Macaca fascicularis: one gene and its partners. The protein of the gene in region 6 interacts with the protein of the main gene of each other region in a pairwise test. Links are inferred from orthologs where the notes say so. Each region holds a gene or a part of one and is shown on either strand. Other genes may lie near its edges. The genes, in order: cancer/testis antigen 55, LURAP1, CEP57L1, KRT15, NMI, TXLNB and USHBP1.

Evidence for each region.
Region 1: the proteins of TXLNB (region 6) and cancer/testis antigen 55 interact in binary tests that used the Homo sapiens proteins (3 or more experiments, as listed by UniProt). The two-hybrid records come from large-scale screens. The link is inferred for Macaca fascicularis from reciprocal best matches to the Homo sapiens genes TXLNB and CT55.
Region 2: the proteins of TXLNB (region 6) and LURAP1 interact in binary tests that used the Homo sapiens proteins (3 or more experiments, as listed by UniProt). The two-hybrid records come from large-scale screens. The link is inferred for Macaca fascicularis from reciprocal best matches to the Homo sapiens genes TXLNB and LURAP1.
Region 3: the proteins of TXLNB (region 6) and CEP57L1 interact in binary tests that used the Homo sapiens proteins (3 or more experiments, as listed by UniProt). The two-hybrid records come from large-scale screens. The link is inferred for Macaca fascicularis from reciprocal best matches to the Homo sapiens genes TXLNB and CEP57L1.
Region 4: the proteins of TXLNB (region 6) and KRT15 interact in binary tests that used the Homo sapiens proteins (3 or more experiments, as listed by UniProt). The two-hybrid records come from large-scale screens. The link is inferred for Macaca fascicularis from reciprocal best matches to the Homo sapiens genes TXLNB and KRT15.
Region 5: the proteins of TXLNB (region 6) and NMI interact in binary tests that used the Homo sapiens proteins (3 or more experiments, as listed by UniProt). The two-hybrid records come from large-scale screens. The link is inferred for Macaca fascicularis from reciprocal best matches to the Homo sapiens genes TXLNB and NMI.
Region 7: the proteins of TXLNB (region 6) and USHBP1 interact in binary tests that used the Homo sapiens proteins (3 or more experiments, as listed by UniProt). The two-hybrid records come from large-scale screens. The link is inferred for Macaca fascicularis from reciprocal best matches to the Homo sapiens genes TXLNB and USHBP1.

What each region holds. Positions count from the first base shown.
Region 1 is NC_088395.1:141,581,834-141,585,964, reverse strand, and holds the start of cancer/testis antigen 55, read right to left. Parts: upstream 2,801-4,131; coding exon 2,707-2,800; intron 1,425-2,706; coding exon 1,240-1,424; intron 1-1,239. UniProt on the Homo sapiens protein: Plays a role in spermatogenesis, possibly acting in the regulation of the autophagy pathway.
Region 2 is NC_088375.1:188,482,537-188,486,462, forward strand, and holds the start of LURAP1 (leucine rich adaptor protein 1), read right to left. Parts: upstream 2,801-3,926; 5' UTR 2,708-2,800; coding exon 2,510-2,707; intron 1-2,509. UniProt on the Homo sapiens protein: Acts as an activator of the canonical NF-kappa-B pathway and drive the production of pro-inflammatory cytokines. Promotes the antigen (Ag)-presenting and priming function of dendritic cells via the canonical NF-kappa-B pathway.
Region 3 is NC_088378.1:13,248,794-13,252,188, forward strand, and holds part of CEP57L1 (centrosomal protein CEP57L1), read left to right. Parts: exon of another isoform or gene 1-465; intron 466-1,152; coding exon 1,153-1,230; intron 1,231-1,326; exon of another isoform or gene 1,327-1,345; coding exon 1,346-1,590; intron 1,591-2,702; coding exon 2,703-2,847; intron 2,848-3,395. UniProt on the Homo sapiens protein: Centrosomal protein which may be required for microtubule attachment to centrosomes.
Region 4 is NC_088390.1:62,557,296-62,561,404, forward strand, and holds the start of KRT15 (keratin, type I cytoskeletal 15), read right to left. Parts: upstream 2,801-4,109; 5' UTR 2,738-2,800; coding exon 2,240-2,737; intron 1,088-2,239; coding exon 1,005-1,087; intron 883-1,004; coding exon 726-882; intron 182-725; coding exon 20-181; intron 1-19.
Region 5 is NC_088386.1:46,827,282-46,830,276, forward strand, and holds the end of NMI (N-myc-interactor), read right to left. Parts: intron 1,832-2,995; coding exon 1,725-1,831; intron 912-1,724; coding exon 729-911; 3' UTR 501-728; downstream 1-500. UniProt on the Homo sapiens protein: Acts as a signaling pathway regulator involved in innate immune system response.
Region 6 is NC_088378.1:43,294,908-43,298,407, reverse strand, and holds part of TXLNB (beta-taxilin), read left to right. Parts: coding exon 1-93; intron 94-3,161; coding exon 3,162-3,257; intron 3,258-3,500. UniProt on the Homo sapiens protein: Promotes motor nerve regeneration. May be involved in intracellular vesicle traffic.
Region 7 is NC_088393.1:17,583,620-17,587,760, forward strand, and holds the start of USHBP1 (harmonin-binding protein USHBP1), read right to left. Parts: upstream 2,801-4,141; 5' UTR 2,358-2,800; coding exon 2,304-2,357; intron 2,209-2,303; coding exon 2,060-2,208; intron 1,759-2,059; exon of another isoform or gene 1,040-1,758; coding exon 601-1,039; intron 1-600.

The DNA of each region.
Region 1 (4,131 bases), on a different chromosome or scaffold from region 6:
CACAGCACATTAAAAAAATCATTCACCATGTTCTAGAGGGATTCAGCCCTGGGAAGCAAGGAATTTTCTACATACACAAATCAATAAATGTGCTATATCACATGAACAGAATAAAGGACAAAAGTCATAGGATCATTCCAATTTAAGCAGGATAAGAATTTGATCAAATTCCACACTCCTTCGTGATTAAAAACTCCACAAATTAGATATAGGAGGAGTGCACCTCAACACAATAAAGGTCATACATGATAAGCCCACAGGTAACAACATACTGAATGGGGAAATGTTCCAGGCTTTTCCTCTAAGACCGGGAACAGGACAGAAATGCCCACTTTTGCCCATTCTATCACACATACTTCTGGAAGTGCTAGCCAGAAAAATTAGGCAAGAAGAAACGAAAGGCATCCAAATTCAAAAGGAAGAATTTAGATTGACCCTGTTTGCAGACGGGAAGCTCTTATATATAAATAACCCTGAAAACATCACCAAAAAGCTACTAGGTCTAATAAACAAATTCAGGAAAGTGGCACGACACACAAACAACATACAAGAATCAGTAGCATTTCTATATAACAATAGGGAACTATCTGAGAAAGATATCAAGAAACAATCCCATTTACAACACCTTCAAAAAAATTAAAATAGGAATAAATTTAACCAAGGAGGTGAAGGATTGCAACACTGAAAACTATAAACCATTGACAAAGGAAATTGAAGGAGGCAGGAATGAATGAAAATACATCATATGTTCATGGACAGGAAGAATAAATATTGTTAAATGTCCGTAACCTAAAGCAATCTACAGATTCAATGCAACTCCTATGAAAATACAAATGACATTCTTCATGGAATTATAATTCCATGAAGCTCTTTTTAAAATATTTACATCGCACATGGTTTGACATAGAAATTCCACTGCTATGAATGCGCACTACAGAAAATGTTTTTTTACCTGATAAGGGAAGTTGCAGGATTATAAAGAGTTCAATAATTATTATTGTTACTCATATTGTTCAAAGATTAGAATAATAGATAAGTAATTTTTATGTTTTACAGCACAAATTACTACAACTATTAGAACAGAAGAACCCACAGATTCAGAGGGGTGGGGCTTCAAATTGCGGTCTACATCCCCTCTACGGATCACAGCAGAGATGTTGGATTAATACAAGAAAAGAAAGATGCAGAAAGAAAGCCCACTGGGATAAGACACAATTTCCAAACTCATGCACATCTCACCTTGATTGCTCTGAATCCATAAAGTGGTTTATCATCTTCCACAACCACATTTACTTTTTGTCCAACTTTTAGAGGCACGTTGCCACTCACAACATCACTACTGAAGAAGATCGACTCATCAATCATGCCATAATCACCACAGAAACTTGTGACAACTCCCTGCACAGTTTTCAACTGGGTGTCACCTACAAGATAAAGAAACTAGGTCATATTATTGGCCTCAAATGCAAACACCTACTACAAATAAGTCTTACACTCACCATCTGCATAACCCTGGACAGAGAAGTTTTATAACATCTCTGACCTCGTTTTCATCTGTCAATCCACAACAATCACAATTTCGACTAATAGGGTTGTTGTAGGTTTTTAAAATATTTTTAAAAATTTATCAAAATTTAAATGTTAAAATTTTAAATTATTTTTTAATTTTTTGAGCAGAGTCTGGCTTTGTCACCAAGGCTGCAGTGCAGTGGCGCAATCTGGGCTAGCAGCAACCTCCGCCTCCCAGGTTCAAGCGGTTCTCATGTCTCAGCCTCCCAAGCAACTGGGACTACAGGTGTGTGCCGCCACACCCAGCTAATTTTTGAATTGTTAGTAGAGATGGGGTTTAGCCATGTTGCCCAGTCTGGTCTCCACCTCCTGGCCTCAAGTGATCCACCTACCTGGAACTCCCAAAGAGCTGGGATTACAGGTGTGAGCCACCGAGCCCAGCTTGTGAATATTAATATTAACATACACACCAACTGTCGAGAGCTGTGAGTGCCTTGCACAAGAGTGTGTAAATGTTACCTGTTAGCACCATGTCTACATATGAGTCAAGCTTCTGCTCCTATTATGTTCCTTCATCATTATCACCAATTATGATGAGTAGCACTTTCTATAGATACTTAACTGTCTCAGCAGACTAAAAGATATCTGGAGATTGAAGGCTAGCCCAAAACGGCATCTGAATGGTTTTCTTTATTTTTTTTTCCTTCTTCTTTTCTTTCTTTTTTTGTTCTGCACAAGCCTAGCTGATCAGCAATACTTAGGGATCAAACCTCAGCAGTTGCCCCACAGGAGTTCTGTGCCTTCGGGATCGGATAAGTATAAGGTATCAACTTGGCTTCAAATTACATTCCCATTTGGGATACAAGCCTAAATTCACTCGCAAATTAGGGAGTTTCTCGCCTACTGGAAATATAAATAGGCATGTGCTGCACAACCACGTGGGGGGAAAGCACAGGAGGTACAGCCCCCAAGGTCTTCTCTGTCAACACCTTTCCCGCTTTAGATGGACAGGAGAGTTTGGGAGTTGGTTCTCAGGGACTTGTTGAGGACTAGGGTTGCCTCCCCATGCACACACAAGATGGAGCCGCCGTCACATGCTGTACCCGCCCGAGTTACCACAGCCTCATTCCAGGGGTGAGGAGAACCCCTACTGGGAGGCTTCTGGGGTGGGGGAAAAGTGGACACACAGAGGAATACCTTGTGGGAGCCCCTGCTGCTGTGGGCCCTGTTGCTCTGCAGGGTCGGCCGTTCTCCCGTAGAAGGCCAAAGCAAGTCTCAGAAGCCTGAGCATCGTCCCAGTTGTCACCACCAGCCTGGGCACCGCTTGTGACAGAGGAAGCACGAAGTCTCCTCAGTAAGGGAAGCCCTCAGGTCACGGCGTCTCCTCAGGGACTCACCTCCTGCTTCTCCTCCTCAGCCTCTGTGGCATGGGACCCAGCCGATAGTGAGCCCCCCTTGGGAGAGTCAGGGACATCGCAGCCTCCAAAGGAGCTCCCAGGTTCCCCTCTGACTTCTCCCTCTGAGCATGCGCTCATCAGGGCTCGCCTCTACCACTGTCCAGCCAATGGGCGTGCAGTGGGTGGGCGGGCAGGTTCCTGTGGCTATTAAAAGGTGATGGGTGGGAACATCGTCGCTTCTCCCACCAAGGCTGAGGGTGCCATTAGGATGGCCTGGGGGAAATGGCTTGGGAGCTTGGGTTCTCCATATACTAAGGAGGTACAGGGCTCTTCTCTTGGGTTCCCTGGGAGGATGGGTGCCTAAAACACCGTCTGTGCAGCCAAACATCCTTCTCTTGCCCCTGTATTCGTGGTGCTTAGTATAAGGAGTCACCACTCAGTGGGCAGTCAATAGTTAGTCCTCACCAGGGATCAATTTTGTGGAGAAAAGGCATCATTTGGGTAGGCAATGTTTTAGTGATGGCAAGTACGTGTCTTTTGTGCTAGGACTCCCATTTTGAGTCCAGTGATAATTTATAATAGAATCCTTTTATGATCATTGCTACCATGAACTCATCGCTTACCTGGTTATACTTACATTACTCTGCTATACACATTACCCTTATTCATTCATTCAGCAAAACTCGTAGGGCACTAACTGTGAGCCAGACACTGTTCTGTGTTCTTAAAATTTGTTAGTGAATGAAAGAGTCAAGAATCTTCACCCCGTGAGGGTAGTTTTTTCACAGGATGACAAAAGGGTGACACTAAGCATCACATAATAAAATATATGATATGTTGGAAGGCAATAAATGCCGAGGAAAAATATAGCAGGACAAGGGAGATCCACAGTGCTGGGCATGGGGGGTTGGATTGCACTTTACAATAGCATGGTCAGAGTAGCCCTCATTGGAAAGCAATAGTTGAGAAAGATGTTGGAGTTAGCCAGGCAGCTATTTTGGTGGGAGCCGTTCAGATGGAGGGTGCAGTTTGTGCAAAGACCATACAGCAAGACTGTGCCTGATGTACTCAAGGAAAAGCCAAGTGATTAGAGCAGAGGCAGTGAATAGCTAGAAGAGTAGGAAGTATGGTAAAAGAGGTAATAGAGGTTCAGGCTGCATGTGGGATAGTGGGACACTGGAAGTCCTTTCACTTTTATTGTCCATGATGTGTAAAGTCCCTGAAG
Region 2 (3,926 bases), on a different chromosome or scaffold from region 6:
TGGGAGAACTAAGAAGAGGTTGCCACTGTTTCCCATTCCCACATATCCCAGTCTGGCTTGTTCACTCAACCTTTGAATGGTGGGTAGAGGAAGAAAGCAGGAGGGATGAGGCCTAGAGGCGGACTGACCTTGGCCTCAAGGGTAGGCCTCCCCACTTTGTGCAAGGAAAGCTGGGAGAGGAACAATTGAAGGACAGTCCTTAGAGGGCTTGAACCAGTCCTGCCTTCATTAGCCCCAAGGGAAACCCCTTGCCCCACTGCTTGTCCTTCCTGGGTGCAACCCAGTAGGCAGGGCAGAGCACAGGAAGAGATTAATATTAATAACATCCTGTCCTGAGGAGGGAGAAAAATAGGATGGGGATCTCTCCTCGTTCTGGCCCCAGAAGGCTCCCTCCCTTGTGCCCTTTCTCGGGCAGCCTCAGGCCCCAGGCAAGCAGGGTCAAGAATACAGAGAGACAAAATCAAAAGTTAAATGCAGCCCCTTAAAGTTTACAGATCGTTTCCACCAAGGCAGAAAAGAGAGCCAGAGAGACTAGGCGTGGCTCTTCCACTGACTCCCTATGTGAGTTCAGAATCTGCAAGCATGTTTTATCTGTAAGATGGGAGAAATGATGACCAGTTTTCTCATTTCAATGACATAAAATGTGTTTAGACTATCTGGCACAAAGCAGGTCTCAAAGGTAAACATGCAAAGTGCAGTCAGATGATCTGGGTTCAAATCATGGCCATGCTTTTTGTGTGATCTTGGGCAGTTATTAAACTCCCTGTGCCTCTGTTTTCTTTTCTCTTTTCTTTTATCCTCCCTCCCTCCCTTCCTCCCTTCTTCCCTTCCTTCCCTCCTTCCCTCTCTTTTTTTGAGACAGGGTCTAGCTCTGAGCTCTGTCACCCAGTCTGGAGTGCAGTGGTGCGATTTCAGCTCACTGCAACCTCCTCTTCCTGGGCTCAAGTGATCCCCCTGCCTCTGCCTCCAGAGTAGCTGGGACTACAGGCATGCACCACAACACCCATCTAATTTTTGCAGAGACAGAGTCTTGCTTTGTTGCCCAGGCTGGTCTCAAACTCCTGGGCTCAAGTGATCTGCCTGCCTCAGCCTCCCAAAGTGCTGGGATTACAGGCGTGAGCCACCATGCCCACCCTGTGCCTCAGTTTCTTCATCTATAAAATATCACTTACTTAACATGGTTACTGTGGAGATGAAGAGAGTATCAAGTAAAGTGCTCAGCAAGCTGCCTGGCACATGTGCTGGGTGAAAGTTAGTTTTCAAAGCAACTAGACAGTCTAGGTAGGCTCTTACTAGGCCTTGAGCTAAAGTTTGTACAGCGAGACAAAGGCAAACCCCTGCTTAGGTGGGGACAGTCACAGCCTTGCTCTGGAGAATTTGGCACTCACCTCCAACCTTCAAGGCCAAGTGCACACTTGGCATTCAAGTCCTTCTCCCAGAGGGCCTTTCCTGGCTGCTCCACCCACCAGACTCTCTTCCCAGTCTCTCAGCTCAGGCATTAGAGCCCTGGCTGGTCTAAGAGCCCCCATGACTTCCTTCCCCTGCTCCTTCACAGACCAGCTTGGCACAGGCTGCGCACACAGTGGGGGTCCAGAAAGACTTATTAGCTGACATATTCACTGTGGGCTCCTGGTTGTAAGCCAGGAAGCTGATAGCAATTCCTCAGTTCCCCAGAACTGGCTGCAAAGTAGTGGCAGGTGTAAATCACCCACTTCACCGGAATCAGGGCCCTGAGGAACATGCCAGGGCCTTGGCTGCCCTTTTGGCTCTGAATCTAGACCAGCAGCAACAGAGAAACGGGAAGGTTGCTGTTTCCTCTTCTCCCCAAGAATGTGCAGATGAGATCCAAATATCCAGTTTACCTGGGAGATTGGATGGGAGGAGACTGAGTCTGAGGTGAGGGAATCAGCACCAATGGTGCTGTTACTCTCTGTTCCTGCTATGGGTCTAGGAACTTTCCATTATTTTAAGTAGGGCTGGGGGATGTAGAGGAAATGGAGAAGGTTTTCAGTGCCCCTGGTCCAGACAGTTTACAGCAGATAGGCCCCTTTACCCACATCTTTTCTGTGCTGAACACTGCGGGCCTCACAGGAACTAAACCCTTTCCCGGTTAGCAGAAGGAGAAAAAACCGGTTGCCTTACAACGGGGACTGGGGGGGAATAGGTGGCCCATACGGGCGGGGGGAATTTGTGCTGCGTTGGGTTCTCAGTACTTCCCAGTACTCATCTCTCTCCTCCCAATTATTTGGCAGGAATAACTTCCAAAACCCACGGCTCCCACCCCAATTCCTCAGGACCTATCAACACCCCCACTCACTCTTGGGGGACAATTAATGGATGTCACTCCATCTCCACCCCAGCGTTTACGGATTGATCTGGGAGGGATTCTGAGCAGTTAGGTGGAGAGTTTTAACTACCTCCTCTCCAGCTTAACTCTGAGAGCATGAGTTCGTCCCTCCTGGCCCTAAACTGGGGACTCGTCCCCTTGGCCCATGGAGTCTGCACTCACCAGCTCCATCTTCAGCGCCATGATCTTGTCCCCCAAGTCGTGGCCGGTGCTAGGCGTCCCTGGGAGCAGCAGGGCGCCAGAGGTTCCTAGGTCACACTCGCCTCGCAGCCCACGGAGCAGCCCTTCAGGGGTCTTCCTGCCCACCTTACCCTCCACATCCCGCAGGTCAGGCGTCTGGGACTCCACGGTTCCCTCCATGCGGGCCCAAGCCTGAAAAGGGCTGGGCAACCGGACGCCAGGGACCGGCTCGCGGGGGTCCTCCCTTCGCCGCTGCTAAAGCGGAGCAAAACCGGTGGGTCCCCGCCCGAGAGCCGCGCGGGCGGCAGGAGGGTGCCGTAACACTCAGAAAAGCCGCGCAGCACTGTCCGTGGGTATATTCGAGTGCTGCGCACACAACCTCCGGCCCTGGATTGCGTGGGGCTGGGCGGTTCTGGAGTTGGACCTGAAAGAGCACTCGGAGACCTCAGCGCCTTCGCCCCACCCTGGCACTGAATCCAGCCAGGCACACAGCAGGCGCCCAATACATGTTTGCAGAATGAAGTCTAAGCAGCTTCAGTCAGAGATGTGGGAGTTTAAGGAACAGTGGTAACAGAGAGCTGCAGAAGGCTTGGAAGTCTTCCTGGAGCAGAGGAATTGGGTCTAAAACGATGGCTGGATTTTAGTCAGACACACACACAACACCCCAGGGGCTAGAATTCAGACTAATGGAGTAGAAAGGGGCAACCAGTATTGAAGCTGAAGAGGTCCACATTGAGCTTACAAGCAAGATCCTCCTCCTTAAACTTGACTGTGCATATGAATTATCTGCGGATCGTATTAAAATGCAGTTCTGATTTTGTAAATCGGGGTGGGGCCTGAGATCCTGCCTTTTTTTTTTTTTTTTTTTTTTTGAGACAGAGTCTTGCTCTGTTGCCCAGGATGGAGTGCAGTGGCACGATCTCGGCTCACTGCAAACCACTGCCTTCCCCGGTTCCAGCGATTCTCCTGCCTCTGCCTCCTGAGTAGCTGGGATTACAGGCATGCACCGCCACGCCCAGCTAATATTTTTGTATTTTTAGTAGAGACGGGGTTTCACCATGTTGGCCAGGCTGGTCTTGAACTCCAGATCTCAAGTGATCTGCCTGTCTCGGCTTCCCAAAGTACTGGGATTACAGGTGTGAGCCACTGGGCCCCGCCAAGATCCTGCATTTCTAATAAGCTCCCAGGTCATGGCCATGCTGCTGGTCCACGCTTCAAGTAATAAGGGACCACACTTTGATAACAAGGTTACAGAAGATGGTTCTGAGATGTTTGGGTTTTATTTAACAGGTAATGAACAGTCATGAAAACTTTGGTTTGTGTAGGCTTGTAATTCAAGTAATTCCAGCCCGTGGTTGCAGAAGGATTTACAATGAGAAGATAGTTACCCCTGCCCTAC
Region 3 (3,395 bases), about 30 Mb from region 6:
ATCATATGCGTAGATTCATGTCACTATCACAACAATCAAGATACAGAACTCTTCCACCACTAAAAGACTCCTTCATGCAATCCCTCTATAGCTACACATCCCCTTCCCTGAACATTGGCAACCTCTAATCTGTTCACCATCTGTATATTTTATTATTTCAATATTATTATATAAATGGAATTATACAGTATGTAACTTTTTGAGATTGGCTTTTTTCCCTTGAGGTCCATCCAAGTTGTTGTATGTATCAATACATCCTTTTTATTTCTGCATGATATTCCGCATTACAGATGTACCACAATTTAACTGTTCATCTGTTAAAGGATATCTGGAGTCCGGCATGGTGGCTCATGCCTGTAATCCCAACAGTTTGGGAGGCCAAGGCGAGTGCATCATTTGAGGTCAGGAGTTCAAGACCAGCCTGGCCAATATGGTGAAACCTCGTCTCTACTAAAAATACAAAAATTAGCCGGGCAGTAGTGGCACACACCTGTAATCCCAGCTACTTGGGAGATTAAGGCAGGATAATCGCTTGAGCCTGGGAGACAGAGGTTGCAGTAAGCCAAGATTGTACCATTGCACTCCAGTATGGGTGACAGAATGAGACCCTGTCTCAAAAAAAAAAAAGGATATTTCGATTGTTTCCAATTTTTTAGCTATTACAGATAAAGCTGCTATGAACATTTGTATACATGTTTTTATGTGAACATAAGTTTTCATTTTTCTAGGATAAATGCCTAAGAGAGCAATTGTTGGGTGATGTAATAAGTACATTTTTAGTTTTATAAGAAACTGCCAAACTGTCTTCCAAAATGGCTGTACCATTTTGTATTCCCACCAACAATATGTGAGTGGTTTTATTTTCTCTGCATGCTTGCCAACATTTGGTATTGTCACTATTTTTTATTTTGGCCATTCTGATGGATGTGCAGTGATATTTCACTAATTTTAACTTTCATTTCCATAATTAATGATGTTAAATATCTTTTCATATGTTTGCCATACATATGTCTTTGTCAGTGAAATTTCTGTCCATGTCTTTTTGCCCATTTTCCAGTTGCATTGTTTTCTGTTGAGTTTTGAGAGTTCTTCATATCATAAATAACTTTTAAAATAATTTCTTATTTATGTTTTTTTCTTGTCAATCTCTAGAAAACTAAATGTATAAAGAGAGGACCACCTTGGCAAATTTGTTCAAAGTTTGGAGCACTGCCTTTTGTGGCTGAAAAGGTGAGAGGGGATAAAATGAAGATAGTTGTTCAAAAAAACTCCTGTTTCATTGTAAGTGCTATTAAAATATCTTCAGTCATTTAAAATTATTCTCAGTTGTTTCTTTTCCCATAAGTCCACCAGTGCAAACTGTTCTGTGAATGCAAGTATGCAAAACCTTTTGCAGAGGAGGCAACATCGTGGCCCACATATCCTTCAGAAACCTTTTAACGTGGCTGAGACTAGATGTCTCCCCAGGCCTTCTAGAACAACTTCCTGGTGTAAGGCTATTCCTCGTGACTCAGAAAAGTCCATTTCCATTTGTGACAATTTATCTGAACTTTTGATGGCAATGCAAGATGAGCTGGACCAAATGAGCATGTAAGTATTTATATTTTTTTTTTTTAAGAGACAGTGTCTTGCTATGTTGCCCAGGCTAGTCTTGAACTCATGGTTTCAGGCAGTCCTCCTGCCTCAGCCTCCCAAAGTGCTGGGATTACAAGCGTGAGCCATCGTGCCTGGCCAGCAATTTTTATTCTTTATCAGGAGAAGTACCATATCACTTTTTCTTCTTAGTCTTAAGAACAATACCACTTATAAATTCTTAAAGGCCTTACTTAGCCATTTGGAAAGATTTGTTGTCACTATTTTTCATTGTATTTGTTACTATTTAAAATTTCAGTTCTTTATAACTCCTACTTTTTCATTCTAAGGTATTTCTGTATTCCCAAGATCTGGACTGATAGCTACTACTGTCATTCTAACATATAGGATCTGATGACCTTAGATTAAAACTCACAAAAGCGTTTATAAGAAAAGCTCTCCTTTTGTGTTTTAGAATCTTTTAGCTGAATGAATTATTTAATTAGACAAGTAGGAATGTAATTCCTTGTTTTAGACTCTGGCTGGTCTGCATTACAAATTTTGAAGCATCTATAGTAAGGAAGATTTCCATATGGGATACATTATATTGTGCCCACTTGCTTAAATATATATTCAATAGAAATTCCAGAACTATGTGATTTGGCTGACCAGCTAGTTGACCTAAGACATCTGTAGAAGATACAGCTGTTTCTGTTAACAGCATTTCAGTAGGCTAACTCCAAATCCAGAAATTTTTCAGGCAAATACTTCCACAGCTGGAATTCTTCCAAAGATCCTATGTCAATAATGAGGAAGAAAGCCCTTTAATACCTCTGTTAAAGACATCACACATTTTACTACATTGAGCTATGAGCATCAGGAATTCACATATTTTTTAAAGTTGCTTAGCAGTCTTAAGATATTTGTAAAGGTATTTAATTTCAAATCACAGGAGCCTGGTTATAGTTACTGTAGATTTAATTAAACAACCTTAAAGAAAGACGCTGTTTTTAAAGGTTAATATTTAAGTCTGACTAAAATTTATGATTGAACAGAAAATTGCTTAATTATGGCAAAGACATATATGCAATAAACTATAGTAGTGCTTAATATTTGCTATTCTTTCATAGGGAGCACCAAGAACTACTGAAACAAATGAAGGAAACTGAAAGCCATTCAGTCTGTGACAACATAGAATGTGAACTAGAGTGTTTAGTCAAGAAAATGGAAATTAAAGGAGAACAAATCTCCAAACTGAAGAAGCATCAAGACAGTGTAAGAAGGCTTTACTAAGAGATTTTAATAAAAAGATAAAACGTGGATTCAGTGTTGTATCTCTGTACGACTTTCCAAATTTGAGGTCTGTATATGGGATTTAGTGAAAAGATGGATGGTAATCACTTAGGCCTATGACAGAATAGAGCCATCTGTCCCACTGGAATAACATGGACCTCCTACGTAACTCTCCAAGTTAAAATTTTTTAAGTGAACAAATAGGTTCAGTTATGTATTCAGAAATTGCTTTGGGGAAATTGTGAGGTAAACTAAACTTGCCTTAGCAGCCCTCCAATTACCCTTTTAGCATTCTTTTTCCTCTTCCTTCTCTCCTCTAATGCTTTAATGATACCCCTTATGTCAGCAGGTCTCTTATTCACTACCAGACATAAACCTGGCTCCTAAGCAGTGCCCCAGTCCTTAAAGCATGATTTCCTCTTTCCCAAAACAGGCTGTGTTGTGTTCCATTCCCTGGGGACCTATACTCAGCTAGCTATAGTGAGTAGGACAGGGATGGTGAGGAAAACTCTATACTTCTGTTAAGATGT
Region 4 (4,109 bases), on a different chromosome or scaffold from region 6:
GGCAGGAGATCAGGCCCACCTTGCTGAAGAACCAGGCCTCAGCATCCCGGCGGTTCTTCTCCGCCATGGCCTCGTACTGCTCCCTCATCTCTGCCAGCACGCGGGTCAGGTCCACGCCCGGTGCTGCGTCCATCTCCACATTGACCTGGCCGGCCAGCTGGCTGCCGAACTCCTTCATCTCCTGCAGGGTGGGAGGGGCCCATTTAGAGACGGAGAGCAGAAGAGAAACCTGAGTCTGGGGTCCCACATGCCAATCCTGGCTCTGCCCCTAACGCACCCCAACCGATGTTCCCTATTGCACATGAAGAGGTTCGGTCACATGGACCCCTCAACTCTGAGGAGCTCTCTGCTGCTCTAGGTCCTACCAAAGGGAGGACCCCGAGACTGTAGGGCCCTGATGTGAGCTCACAAAGCCAATGAGGAAGTCAGTCATTCGTACTGGCCACCTGGCCTGGCTGTGGGTCTGGGCTACCACAGGTCAGTGCCCCTTCCTCTCCATGAGGACACCTGGTTTTGGGGTTTGGGGGTGTTTCTGAACCACTAAGCCCCAGGCCAACGATGAGGAAGTACCAGCAGCCCCACTCTGCCTCCCACCGACTTAATCTCGCGAAAATCTGGGAGGGCTTCCTGGAGCCGCTGTCTTTCCCTCTGGGCAATTTAAGTGCGTTTTGGGAAGAAGTTCCCCACCTCTCTCAGGTTCAAGGGTGATGGGGGCCAGCTCTCACCTCCTCGTGGTTCTTCTTCAGGTAGGCCAGCTCCTCATTCAGGCCCTCGATCTGCATCTCCAGGTCAGTCTTGGCCAGGGTCAGCTCATCCAGGACTCGGCGCAGGCCGTTGATGTCAGCCTCGACGCTCTGGCGCAGGGCCAGCTCGTTCTCATACCTGAGGAGAGAGAGGGAGGCCAAAGAAGGAAGTGGGAGGGGTCTTGGCTGCCTGAGTCAGACCCAGGAGAAGGCCAAGTAAAGTGGGCAACGCAGGAAGAGGAGAGGGAGGGGGGAGCGCACTTGAGCCTGAAGTCGTCTGCAGCCAGCCTGGCGTTGTCGATCTCCAGGATGACCCGGGAGTTGTCGATGGTGGTGGCCGTGATCTGCAGGAGACAGAGTTGGTGCCTAGAGGACTCCTCTCTCTCCCTTGCTGCTCTCCACTCTGCACCCAAGGCCAGCCCCTCACTGACAATCACCCCTCTGACACCACCAACAAAAATCTGTAGGGCCTCTGGGGTGGGCAGAGTCCAGCCGCATCTTGAGTGTCCACTTCTGGTTTTGTCCCATACCAGCCTCCTTGAGACACCTGAGGAGTTGCCCTCCTTGTCTCCAGGGCACGAAAGACCAAGGAGGCAGTACTGCCTGTGGGAATTGGTTGCCCAGAAGAGTGGTGGAGTGGGGTGTGGTCAGCTCTGACAATAGCCCTCTCAGAGACACTCCACCAGCCCCCCTGTGGACAGCTCATGGTCACTGCCTCCTGCACATCTTGGACACAGCCATGGATCTACAGAACATTCCAGCCAGTAGCAACCTGGAGGGCAGCTAAAGAAGGCCTTTTACAAATGAAGAACCCAGTCTCAGGGAGTAAAAAGGTGAGTGAGTGGGTGACAGAATGTGTAATGAGTTCCCAGGTCTCCTAAGACCCAACAGTACTTTTGGCACAAAAGGTCTCTTTATAGGAAAAGACAAGAGGTTCTAGCATCTGGGACTCATGAGGCCACACTCCAATCCCATTCTTGCCAAAGAGGTGAAGGAATACTTTATGCAGAAGCCTGCAGGGTGCATGAGGTAGGGAAGGCGAGCTGCTCTTTTTTTTAATTATTGGTTTTTTCCATTAGATACAGGTTCTCACTCTGTCACCTAGGCCGGAGTACAGTGGCACAGTCATTAGCTCACTGCAGCCTCTAACTCCTGAACACAAGCAGTCCTATCACCTTGGCCCCCCAAAGCACTGGGATTACAGGTGTGAGCTACTGCCCCTGGCTCTTTATAATTGCCCCCACCTGTGCCCCTGTTGGTCCTAACCAGACTCCCAAGACCCCTCCCTTCCTCCCCCAGCACCACCAAGTTGAGAAGATGTGCACTAGCCTCTGCACCTGGACAGCAGGTGCATTCCAAATTTGCTGAGGTTACACACCAGACAGTCGTTGCCTGGGCAGGAAAGGATTTCCTCGAGTCAGCAGTAACACCGACATTAGAGCCACATACAGGGTACCAGCCACCTGCTCCCCTCTCTTTGACATCTGAGGACTCACCTTGTCCCGGAGCTCTTCAGTGGTCTTGAAGTATTGGCTGTAGTCGCGTTCCGGGCTGGTCGGGGCCTGCTTCTGGTACCAGTCACGGATCTTCACCTCCAGGTCAGCATTGGCCTCTTCTAGGGCACGTACCTTGTCCAGGTAGGAGGCCAGGCGGTCATTGAGGTTCTGCATGGTAATTTTCTCATTGCCAGAGAGGAGACCACCATCGCCACCACCAAAGCCACCACCAAAACCCCCACCAATGCCCCCTCCAAAGCCTCCACCAAAAACACTGCCAGCCCCTCCACCAAAGCCACAGACCCTCATGCCACCCCCGTAGCCCCCTCCTGACCCTGAAGACACAAACCTAGCAGAAGAAGCTGAGATATTTCGGCTTCCACCTCCCCCATAGAGACTACCCCCACCAAAGCCACCTCCCCCAGCCAGAAGGGAACCCCCTCGGGTAGAGCCACCCCCAAAAGTGGAGGAAGAAGTTTGCAGAAATGTGGTGGTCATCGTCAGGTAGCTGGAGCCCGTGAGTTCTCAGCAAACCCAAGAGACGCTGGCAGGAGGTACCAGGCCAGGCTGCACTCTGGAGCTCCTTATATTCCCCTCAGAGGGTGCTGTGGGACCTCGTCTCCTCCCCCAAAGCAAAGCCAACTCCTTCTGCCTTCCTGACAAACACAGCTGCCTGCACACCTTGAGTGGCTCGTGTGAAGTTTTTCTCTTCTATTTTTTTTAATGCAACAAAAGAGATGATTCAGAATTAATAGTGTTTTCCCCCGGGGCACGGTTTTAACACTTGGATTACAGGTTCATCTCTCCATGCCAGAAGAGAGCAGCAGGGAGTGAACTCTCATCACAGCACAGCTACCAAAGCCTCTAGCTGAACTGAGAGCAGCTCAAGCCACTGTGCCCTCAGCTGGACTTCTCCACTGCCCCGAGCCCTGAGCCTCTGCCCAAGGGGACAGCTCCGTGTTCTCGGTTTGGGAGTCCACTTCTTGATCATTACACTGTGTTATCCAACTCAAAACCCTGTGAGTGAGTGAGAGACTGCAGGGCTCAGGGGGAGTGGAGGCCTCTGGGGATGGGAATGCAGGACCCCCAGTTGGAGGACAGGAGCCAGGGACCTTGAGTAGTGTTCCAGCTGAGGTGACCAGAGGAGCCAGCATCCATCCCTTCCCTGGTGCTGCAGATGGACTCCCCTCCTCCCACCTCTACTCCCCTCCTGCCAGCCTCCAGCCTATGTCCCTGGCACCCTCACAAAAGCCCAGCAGGCTCGGGGCTGACAAGGGGATGACTGATGATCCCGACACCTGCCAACTGCATAGCGCTGAACCTTTGCTCGCTTCTGGGATGTGTTGGGGCAGACCTCCGCTGATAAGGCTGGGGCAAGTTCCAAGCAGCATGTTGCTGCTTAGCAGGGCCAGATTAGCCCCCATCTGTCCTGTCAAGTGCTGGCTGGGGAGGGGCCGCTGCAGAAGGCTCTATGTGCCTGAGTGCTGTGGAAGGGAAGAGATGGGAGATTGGCGGGCAGGCTGGAAGACACTGGAGATCTTGAAGACCAAGGCATCACTTCACAAAGATGGGGAGTTGAACACTCAGGAGAGCCCTTTTCTCTGCCACCGGCTCAGGGACACCTTTCCAGGGACAACTGACACCTGTGGGCAGTGCCTCTTGGAGGTGTGGCCCGGCCCTCCGGACCTGGCCCCAGGGCTTACAGAAACTCAGGAAGAGGATTCCTAGCCCAGGTTGCAGCATGGTGAAGTGGACAGGGCTCCGGAGTCCCTCAGGCCTGGGGTTTAAATCCTGGCTCTATCAATTACCATGGTAAGACTGTGAGGCCCGGGTTCAAATCCTGACTCTACCAATTACCACGGTAAGACTG
Region 5 (2,995 bases), on a different chromosome or scaffold from region 6:
GCATGATGAGTGATGAGTCACTAACTTTGTATTTACCTCTCTCTCCATGCCAAGGTTTTCAAACTCTTATACCAACTGTTTCCATTGTAAGTGCAAAAGAAAGAAAAAGCTAGTCCTTTACGAGCTCTATTTGGAGAGGGGATGGCTTGGAAGGAATCAAGGGACACATGGCACTTGCGTGAACAAAAATTCAAGAAAAAGACCATGCTCAGCTCTGAGAAGCTTTAGAGTTGTGGAGTGAAACACTACACACAGTGGAAAATTGTTGCTCTTGGAGTCCTTCGAATCTTCAGTTGAGTTTACAGGAATCACAAACTGCTGAATGTAACTGCCTTTGTTTTGGAAAATGTTAAGAGTCAAGTCTGCATATTGGTGGGCATGGTCTGCCATTCACAACTGAATTGGCCCACAAGACCATAACAGGATAAGCCAGCACTAGCAGGGGACATCTGAATCACTTAAGGTTGATTTCAGCAGACATGGCACCAATATACATAATCTATAAACAAAACCTTTTATTACAGTGCATTTATTGTAATTGAAAACATGCAGCAAGCACCATTTGAAACAATGAAGATTCAGACACATGGAAATAAGTTTTGTATCTAAAAATAAATGGATGATAAAAATTAAAGTTTTCATTTTTTTAAGGAAAAGCATATTTATTTTTGTCAAACATTTACAGTAATCTGCGTTAAAAAGCTATAGTTTTCATGATTCTGTTAAGTCTATTCTTCAAAGTATGCTATGTGAGGTTGATCTAGAGAACACTTGACCACATCTACTTCTCCACCTCCATTCTTTGCCCGTTGAAAGTGAATGTTAATTAAATCCTCCACAATTTCTTCATCCATTTGAATGCCTTCCATTCCTGTCAGAAGCACTGTCCTCTTAGATGTTCCTGAAAATATCTAAGTAGGAAAAACAATGATAAATAGAAAGATTTCTGAGAGCTTTGAATTACAAAACTTTACATTCATAATCTGCTTAATATTTTTTACTTTATCTTAGAAGACACAAGAAATCTTAGGAAGATTTTCCAAGCAAGAGAATATCCAAGTCAGATCTGAGTTTTAGAAAGAGAACTCTGATGGCATTATGGAACATAGAGGAAAGGGGGGAAGCTCTGGGGACAGTTTTAGAAAAAGAACTCTGGTGGCATTATGGAACATAGAGGAAAGGTGGGATGCTCTGGGAACAGAAGGACCAGGTAAAGAGGTAGTCAGAAGCGGAGCTGGCAAGATTTAGTGACCAAATGAATGTTGGAGGTGAAGCAAACTGAAGAGTTAAGTGAGTTCTAGCTTTTAAGTCAGTGGACTAGGTAGATGGTGGTACCATTGGATACCTGAGAAGGAAGAGAAAAGGCAGCAGGTCTGGGATAAAGATACTGAGTTCAGAGGAAGTAGGCAGGAATTCTTTCTCATGCTCACTGACAGTAGACACATGAGAGAAATGCAGCTATGTCTCCATGTACAAAAATAAAAATTGTGCCATTATCTGAGTAATTCCAGTTTTTTAAATGGTATACTAAAGTACTGTTTTGCATTAAAACACTCCTTCAAAAGACAAACTCATTTTGCACTAAGCAAAAATGAAGTAAAGAAACCATTTGGCTATCCCTCATTGATAAGATTCATATAGTAACAGACTCACAACAACTTTATTTTTTGTAGGGTGGGTTTGGGCAGTAAGTTCTCAAAATGAGAGAAAAGAGATGACTTTACCTGATACTTTCTCAAGTGTATTTCTGTGTATGGAGAAACAGTAACTCTATGGCAGGTTTGATTTATATAAAGAGGATATTCTTTCTTTTTCAAAATCTTGTCAGCAACTAAAAGCAAAGCAAAAACAATACTTGTCTCTTTTATATCACAAACATTTTTAACCAAAGTTAAAACTTCCTTCAAAAAGAGCACTATTACAGTAAATACTGAGTTAAAAGATTAATTTTTAAGAAATTCTAAAACCCACTTTGAAGACTTCACAGTACATAATTTTGAAAACTACAAGACCAAACAATAATGAGGTTTAAAAGCTTCATTCCATCTTGAATTATTCACTGCAGTCAATCAATGCACAAAGGGTTGCAATGTCCTCAGACAGATCTACTTTGAGCTACAAAAAATACGATAGTTTTTTGCAGAAAGTAACCCACTCATCTAACAAGACTGGAATGTTTCCCAGTTTCTCAAAAGCTATAAGTGAAAACTATGATTAGAATACTATTAAAAAAATATTTTTTCCATATATTCAATAAACTTAAGTAATGATGTTAACCAAAGCAGGGAGGGGACTGAATGTCATCTAGAAAAGCTGAAAGGAAATAAAAATTCATCAGTTTTCTACAACACAAAGAATAGTCTATTTTTTAGCAGTATTTTTGTCTCCTAGAGGGATGAAAGGATGTGTATCAAGACTGTAACGTGTAACAGAAACAGTTCTTAGGAATATCCAACCATCTTTTTTATGACTCTTCTCACTCATCTACCTTGGATCAATCAGCAATACGGTACGATGATTAAGAGTGTAGGCCCTTATTGGCGAGGATATGGAGAAATTGCAACCCTGAGGCATTGCTGGTAGGAATGTAAAATGGTACAGCCACTGTGGAAAACAGTATGACAGTTCCCCAAAATATTAAAAATAGAACATGATATGATCCAGCAATTCAACTTCAGGGTATATACCCGAAATAACTGAAAGCAGGGACTCAGGCAGATACTTGCTCATTAATGCTCAGAGCAGTATTTTTCACAATAGGCCAATAGGCAAAAGGTGGAAGTAACCCAAGTGTCCACCAACAGATGAATAGATAAACAAAATGGATATATAAAATACACACACACACACATACACACACACACATGGAGAATATTATTCAGCCTTTAAAAAGGATGAAATTCTGATACCTACCACAACATGGATGGACCCTGATAACATTATGCTAACCAAAATAAGACAGACATGAAACGGACAAATATTGTATAATTCCACT
Region 6 (3,500 bases):
CTCACTCTCTACTCAGGAAGGTTTGAAGAATTCCAGAGCACGCTAACAAAAAGCAATGAGGTGTTTGCCACTTTCAAACAGGAAATGGACAAAGTGAGTATTGCTTATCACCAACAAAATATTGACATTTTCTATTTTGACAGGCAAATTTCCTTTGGTTTCCTTTTTCTCTCACTAGGATATTTTGGTGCATTTCACAAAGTAATGAAATGTTTATAAGTAGGAATGAGGTTTGGGTTGTATTTTTTAATTGGTAAGTATCTAGTGTATTAATCTTAGCAGGAGTACAAAAATTCTAGGTTACATTTTCACTCTGAGAAAGAATAGTTCTTTTTCTAACCCATGGATAACTTAAAAAAAAAAAAAAAAAACAGAGCTAGCAATTTAACATTTTGTTGTATATACTAAAGTCAAAATATAACCTTCTAAGAATTAAAAAAAAAAAAAAAAAATTTGGCCTGGCGCAGTGGCTCATGCCTACAATTCCAGCACTTTGGGAGCCCAAGGCGGGCGGATCACAAGGTCAGGAGTTTGAGACCAGCCTGGCCAAGATGGTGAACCCCGTCTCTACTAAAAACACAAAAATTAGCCGGGCATGGGGGCACGTGCCTGTAATCCCAGCTACTCAGGAGGGTGAGGCAGGAGAATCACTTGAACCCAAGAGGCGGAGGTTGCAGTGAGCGAGATCATGCCACTGCACTCCAGCCTAGGCAACAGAGCAAGACTCTGTCTCGAAACAAAACAAAACAAAAAAAACCTTTATACAAATATACAAAAGAATGTTAGAATAGGAAATGCCATCTTACAAGAACCTTCTTAGAAGAAAACGTAACTTATATAATATGATTTAACTGACAGAGCCTTGAATGAGAAGATGAAAGCCTGAATTCAATTCTCCAGTGGTGTTAGACAATTCACTTAACTTCCTGAATCTAATTTACTTTTTTTTGAGATGGAATTTTGCTTTTGTTGCCCAGGCTAGAGTGCAATGGCGCGATCTCGGCTCACTGCAACCTCTGCCTCCCGGGTTCAAGCGATTCTCCTGCCTCAGCCTCCCAAGTAGCTGGGATTACAGGCATGCACCACCATGTCTGGTTAATTTTATAGTTTTAGTAAAGATGGGGTTTCACCATGTTGGTCAGGCTGGTCTCGAACACTTCACCTCATGTGATCCGCCCACCGCGGCCTCTCAAAGTGCTGGGATTACAGGCATGAGCCACCACTCCTGGCCTCTAATTTTTTTTTTTTTTTTAATCTATGCAGATACCACTTTCCCCTGCCTAACTCACAAGATTGTGAACTTAAATTAATGTATTTTGGAAGGGATTTAAACTTTTTACAATTATTTTTCAAATATGAGGTGCCAGTATTATTATTTAATGTAATGTTTAAAGCTTGTTCAGTGTCTTCCCAATACAAAATCAGCATCAGAACTGTGTTTCTGAACAGGGATTGGCATTAATGGTTTTGAAGTGTAGAAAACATCCTCTTAAAATATATTTTTAAAATACTATGATATATTTTACAATTAAATGAGCAACCTGAAGAAGATTGACACTTGTTAAATGTTACAGTTCTCCCATTGCAGAATAGAACTATCTATTTTCTTAAATTTTTTTTTTTAATTCTAGCATTTTAAGACTGGTATAAATTAGAACAGGAAAAGATGTTTTTACTTCAAAATTATGTACTTTTAAGAGTGGAATAAATATTAAATCAGGAGTTCTTAATCTGGGGTTAGTAGTTGACCTGAGAACTCCCTAGAAATTAGCAAAGAAAGATGCACATATGCACATTTTTGTGAAGTGTGGTCCCACAGCTTTCACCACATTCTTAAAAAGATCGATGACCTTAAAGTTTACAAATAACTGGCTGGGCGCAGTGGCTCACGCCTGCAATCCCGGCATTTTGGGAGGCCAAGGCTGGTGGATCACTTGAGGTCAGGAGTTCGAGACCGCCTGGCCAACATGGTGAAACCCTGTTTCTACTGAAAATACAAAAAATTAGCCAGGTGTGGTGGCAGGCGCCTGTAATCCCAGCTACTCAGGAGGTGGAGGCAAGAGAATCGCTTGAACTCGGGAGGCAGAGTTTGCAGTGAGCCGAGATCGCGCCACTGCACTCCAGCCTGGCGACAGAGTAAAAAACAAACAACAACAAAACAAAACAAAAAAACAAGAAAACAACAAAAAAAGAAGTTTACAAACTACTAAACTAAAATATGATCAAAATTAAAAACCTAGCTTCTCTACAGAGCCAGGGGCTGACAGTCTTGGGCCCAGCCTCTGGCCTCCATGGGTACCCAGCCTCAGGCAGCTTGGCACCATGCCACGAGTGCCCAGCTATGTTTCATCCAGGAAAGCTGCATCTGAATACATGCCTTGTTCTCCACTTCATCCAAGCAAAGAAGAGATCCTACAAACAAGAACGTGAGTAGCCTCAGGTTCAAAAAAGACGGGCTGCATTGTATTCACTTCTCACTTCCTCGCACCTAGCCCAGGGCCTGGTGACCACCAGACATTCCATATGCTTCATTAAATGAAATAAAAGAATGGCAGCCCCACTCTTCTGTTAACTCACCTAAATATGACTCTACCTCTCTGAACTGTGGTTTCCACAGTTATAAAATCGGGGCTGAAAATAGAACCTTCCTTGTGGGACTATTTCAAGGATTTTTGTGAACTCTACCTCACTCTATAAATGTAAAGACCCAGAAAATACAGAGGCTGCTTTTGTGCAGCTACTTCTCAGATGTGCCCAGATATTATCAACATTTTAATGGCTAAAAAGGCCATGCCAGCTTTCCCACTGTGATAGTCTTCTGTTCAATACCGTAAACATCCTAAATTACAGGCTTGTTCATGGGACTCCATAAAGATATTCTTCTTTTAAATGAAAGAAAAAGCAGTGACAAAACCATGTGCCCCTAAGTCATTTCCCGTTTCCTGAATTAGCTCGGGTGCAAATAAGTTTGCTCACCACTGCCCTAGCTGGCTCAGAAATAAATCATGGCTCTGCTGCAGTCTTCATTCTTGACATTGAACATTTGTTTGCTTCAGCAGCTGGTAACAAAAGGACTTCTCCTGGTCTCACATATGGAGCTAATAGCTTCCTTGATGTATTAACTCTTCAAGATAAACACTCACACACTCTAATTTCTGTAGACAACTAAGAAAATGAAGAAGCTGGAAAAGGACACAGCCACATGGAAAGCCCGATTTGAGAACTGTAACAAAGCTCTGTTGGACATGATTGAAGAGGTGAGGAAGTTTCTCCCTTAGCTTTAATCCCATCTGTCTAGTCAATATATTCATACTTATGATACAATTATAACCTGATAATAGTACAAATGGTTATGTTTGAAAAGGAGCTGAATTTTCGGTGGAGGGATGTGACATTTTAAATTATAATAAATATAAAAAGAGCAAAGTTCATTTAGAATCAGGTCCAGACTCACAAAGAGCTTTGTGACCCTAAGTCACATCCTTACCTGTTGATTCAAT
Region 7 (4,141 bases), on a different chromosome or scaffold from region 6:
CCACCGCACCCAGCCAACCTGGCTGATTTTTTTTTTTTTTTTTTTTTTTTTTTTTAGACAGAGTCTCACTCTGTTCTCCAGACTGGAGTACATTGATGTGATCTCAGCTCACTGCCACCTCCATCACCCGGGTTCAAGTGATTCTCCTGCCTCAGCCTCCTGAGTAGCTGGAATTACAGGCATATGCCACCACACCTGGCTTTTATTTATTTATTTATTTTTATTTTTAGTAGAGATGGGGTTTCACCATGTTGGCCAAGCTGGTCTTGAACTCCTGACTTTGTGATACGCCCACCTCAGCCTCCCAAAGTGCTGGGATTACAGGTGTGAGCCACCGTGCCTGGCCAACCTGGCTGATTTTTATTTTTTATTTTTTGCAGAGGTAGGGGTCTTGCTGTGTTGCCCAGGCTGGTCTTGAACTCCTGGCCTCAAAGGATCCTCCTGCCTCCATCTCCCAAAGTGCTGGGATTATAGGCGTGAGCCACCACACCCAGCCTCAAAAGGTTTTTGGAATGAACAGATGAATGAATATTGCCTACATCGGGCCTGCCTCCTCCCTCAGACAGAGAGCCACATAGGACTCAGGATGGCCCCACTCACCTCTTTCTGCAGCGTCTCCTTCTCAGCTCGGATGGCCTCCAGGGAGGCCTGCGTGCGGACCAGCTCATCCTCTCGGCTACTCAGGGCCAGCCGGAGCCAGGCATTCCTCTCAGCCAGGCGAGCTGCCTCTCGCTGGCTGCTCCCTGCCCCTTCCTGCTTCCCAAGGGGACCTGGTCCCCCTTTGCTTGTGTCTTCCAACTCCATTGGCCCAGGATGGCTGGGGGGCCGGTGGCGCCAGGCTGCAGCCGCTGCCTCCAGGGAGCTCAGAGCGTGCTGGAGGGTCTGAAACACATCGGGGGCCCCAATCCCAGGGGGCACAGTCTCCTTGTACTGTAGGGCTGCTTCTGGGGCCTGGTAGGCTTCCACTGCAGGTTTGTGGGGCACCTCGGGGGCTGAGGCCAGTCCCCTGCCAGAGCCCCCATCCGTCTTCTTGTCGGTCCTGTGGACACCAACTCAGGCACTTGAGTCGCTCCATGCTGGGCAGGGAATTCTTTTTTATTTTTTGAGACAGAGTCTCACTCTGTTGCCCAGGCTGGAGTGCAGTGGTGCGATCTCAGCTGACTGCAACCTCCACCTCCTGGGTTCAAGTGATTCTCCTGCCTCAGTCCCCCAAGTAGCTGGGATTACAGGTGCCCACCACCACGCCCGGCTAATTTTTGTATTTTTAGTAGAGACAGGGTTTCACCATGTTGGCCAGGCTGATGTCAAACTCCTGACCTCAGGTGATTCGCCCGACTTGGCCTCCCAAAGTTCTGCGATAACAGGCATGGGCCACAACGCTCAGCCCAGGGCAGGGAATTCTTAGGGCTTAAACTTCATGGTCTTCGGGAGGTGTGAGCGGGGCAGAGTTGGCAAGAGCTGCGTGTTCTGGGACTTGCATCCCAGGGAGAGACTGGGAGGCTGGGAATTCAGGGAAGAGGCTGGACAGAGGTGGTGGAGAAGTTGGAGGGGAGACCTGGGGCTACGAAGCAGAGTGAATAGTAAGTTGGACTGTGACGGGCAGTGGGAAAGTCCTGAAGGTGAGAGACAGAAGATTCTGGAAATGGGGTCTTCTGGGGCAGCGACTCACACTTGTAATCCCAGCACTTTCGGAGGCCGAAGTGGGGGGATCACCTGAGGTCAGGAGTTCAAGACCAGCCTGGCTAACGTGGCAAGACCCTGTCTCACTAAAAATACAAAAATTAGCTGGGTGTGGTGGCACACACCTGTAATCCCAGCTACTCGGGAAGCTGAGGCTCCCTCTTGAACCCAGGAGGCAGAGATTGCTGTGAGTGGAGATTGTGCCACTGCACTGCAGCCTGGGTGACAGAGCAAGACTCAAAAAAAAGAAAAGAAAGTCAGGCTGAAGGCAACAGGGAGCTATGGTAGGTGTGTGAGCAGAGAGGGCACATCAGCAGATCTGCAGATGGCAAAGATGCATGTGGACTGGAGTGAAGGGCACAGACCAAGGGGGTCTTACCTGCTTCCTAGGCCTTGGCCACTGACCTCCTCCATGGGGCCCAGCTGTTCCAGCCCGGAGCTCACAGGAGGTGGGGCAAAGCTGAGCTTGGAGCTCCCACTGGCTGCCTCAATCTCCTCTGAACTCTCAGCCACGGGGTCCAGTTCACCCTGCAAATGACCCCCGTGGCCCCGCTCTGAGCCAGGCAGGATGGGACCTTGGGGTCCCCAGGAGCTGGGTGTGGAGGGGAGAGGGCGACACTTACGGGTGGAGCATGCCTCCCTCGCCGGCTTCGGGGCCGCGTGGCCCGGGCACTCATTGCTGTCCAGAAGCCAGTGCTCTCTGAATGCTTCTCCTTCGTCAACCCCTAAAACCACAGCCTGCCATGACCTCTTGCCTTTGTTGTCCTGGACAAAGGACAACCTCAATTTCCTCTGCTGTGAAATGGGACATTGACTACCCCTCAGGAAGGGATTTTGTGATCAATGTTGATTGGGCACATTTGAATGCCTCCTGGACAGGCAGCTCACTACCTAACAAGGTTGTCTGGATCTCCCCCTTCTTCTCTGCCTTCTTTACCTTCACTACGTCTTTGTCCCCTTCCCTCCTCTCTTTGAGCCTGGAAATGCAATCTCAATAATTCCCTCTCCTCCGCGGCCCTCCTAAATGACGGGTTCAGCTCTCTACCTCTCTGATCTTCTGGGGGTAACTTGATCAGAGGCCTGAGTCCCTGGACGCCGTCTTGGGGTCACTCTGGCCACTGCCTGGTCAGGCCTGGGCTGGCCAAGCCTGGCCTGGGAGGGACCAGGAAACAGGAACCCACTCCCCTGGTCATGTGACTTGTTATTGTGTTGTTTCCTTTTTGAGGACAGCAGCTTCCTGCAGCCCTAGCGGGGCACACATACCTGACTCCCAAGGTTTCAGCCCCTCCTCGTCTCAGCCTCCAAGCCCATGGCCCTTCTAGCTCTGACGCTTGGATTTTATTTCTCAAGATCTAGAATGGGCCGAGCACCATGGCTCACGCCTGTAATCCCAGGACTCTGGGAAGCTGAGGAAGGCAGATCGCTTGAGCCCAAGAGTTTAAGACAAGCCTGGGCAACATGGCAAGACCCCCGTCTCTACATAAAATATAAAAATTAGCCAGGAGTGGTGTCATATGCCTGTAGTCCCAGCTACTCGGGAGGCTGAGGTGGGAGGATTGCTTAACACCTGGAAGTTGAGGCTGCAGTGAGCCATGGTCACGCCACTGCACTCCAGTCTGGGTAACAAGGCAACACCCTGTCTCAAAAAGAAAGAAAAAAAAAAGAGCTAGAATGTTCCCCTGAGCTGATATGGCTTTTATTTGGCTCCCCTGTGAACTCTTCTTCTCTGCCTGTCTCTTCACTGTGGGCTGACAGTTCTCTTCTCGCTCTGTCGCCCAGGCTGGAGTGCAGTGGTGCGATATTGGCTCACTGCAACCTTTGCCTCCCGGGTTCATACCATTCTCCTGCCTCAGCTTCCCGAGTAGCTGGGACTACAGGCACCCGCCACCACGCCCACCTAATTTTTTTGTATTTTTAGTAGAGACGGGGTTTCGCCGTGTTAGCTACGATGGTCTCGATCTTCTGACCTCGTGATCCACCTGCCTTGGCCTCCCAAAGTGCTGGGATTACAGGCGTGAGCCACCACGCCCAACCTTCTTTTTTTTTTTTTTTTTTTTTTTTTTGAGATGGAGTCTCGCTCTGTCGCCCAGGTTGGAGTGCAGCGGTGCGATCTCATTGCATCCTCCACCTCCTGGGTTCAAGCAATTCTCCTGCCTCAGCCTGCCGAGTAGCTGGGATTACAAGTGCCCACCACAACGCCTGGTTAATTTTTGTGTTTTTAGTAGAGACAGGGTTTTACCATGTTGGCCAGGCTGGTCTTGAACTCCTGACCTCAAGTAATCCGCCGGCCTTGGCCTCCCAAAGTGCTGGGATTACAGGCGTGAGCCACTGCACCCGGCTAGAGATGGGTTTTTGCCATGTTGGCCAGGCTGCTCTTAAACTCCTGAACTCAGGTGATCCACCTGCCTCACCCTCCCAAAGTGTTGGGATTACAGGCATGAGTCATCCACCCCACCAGCCC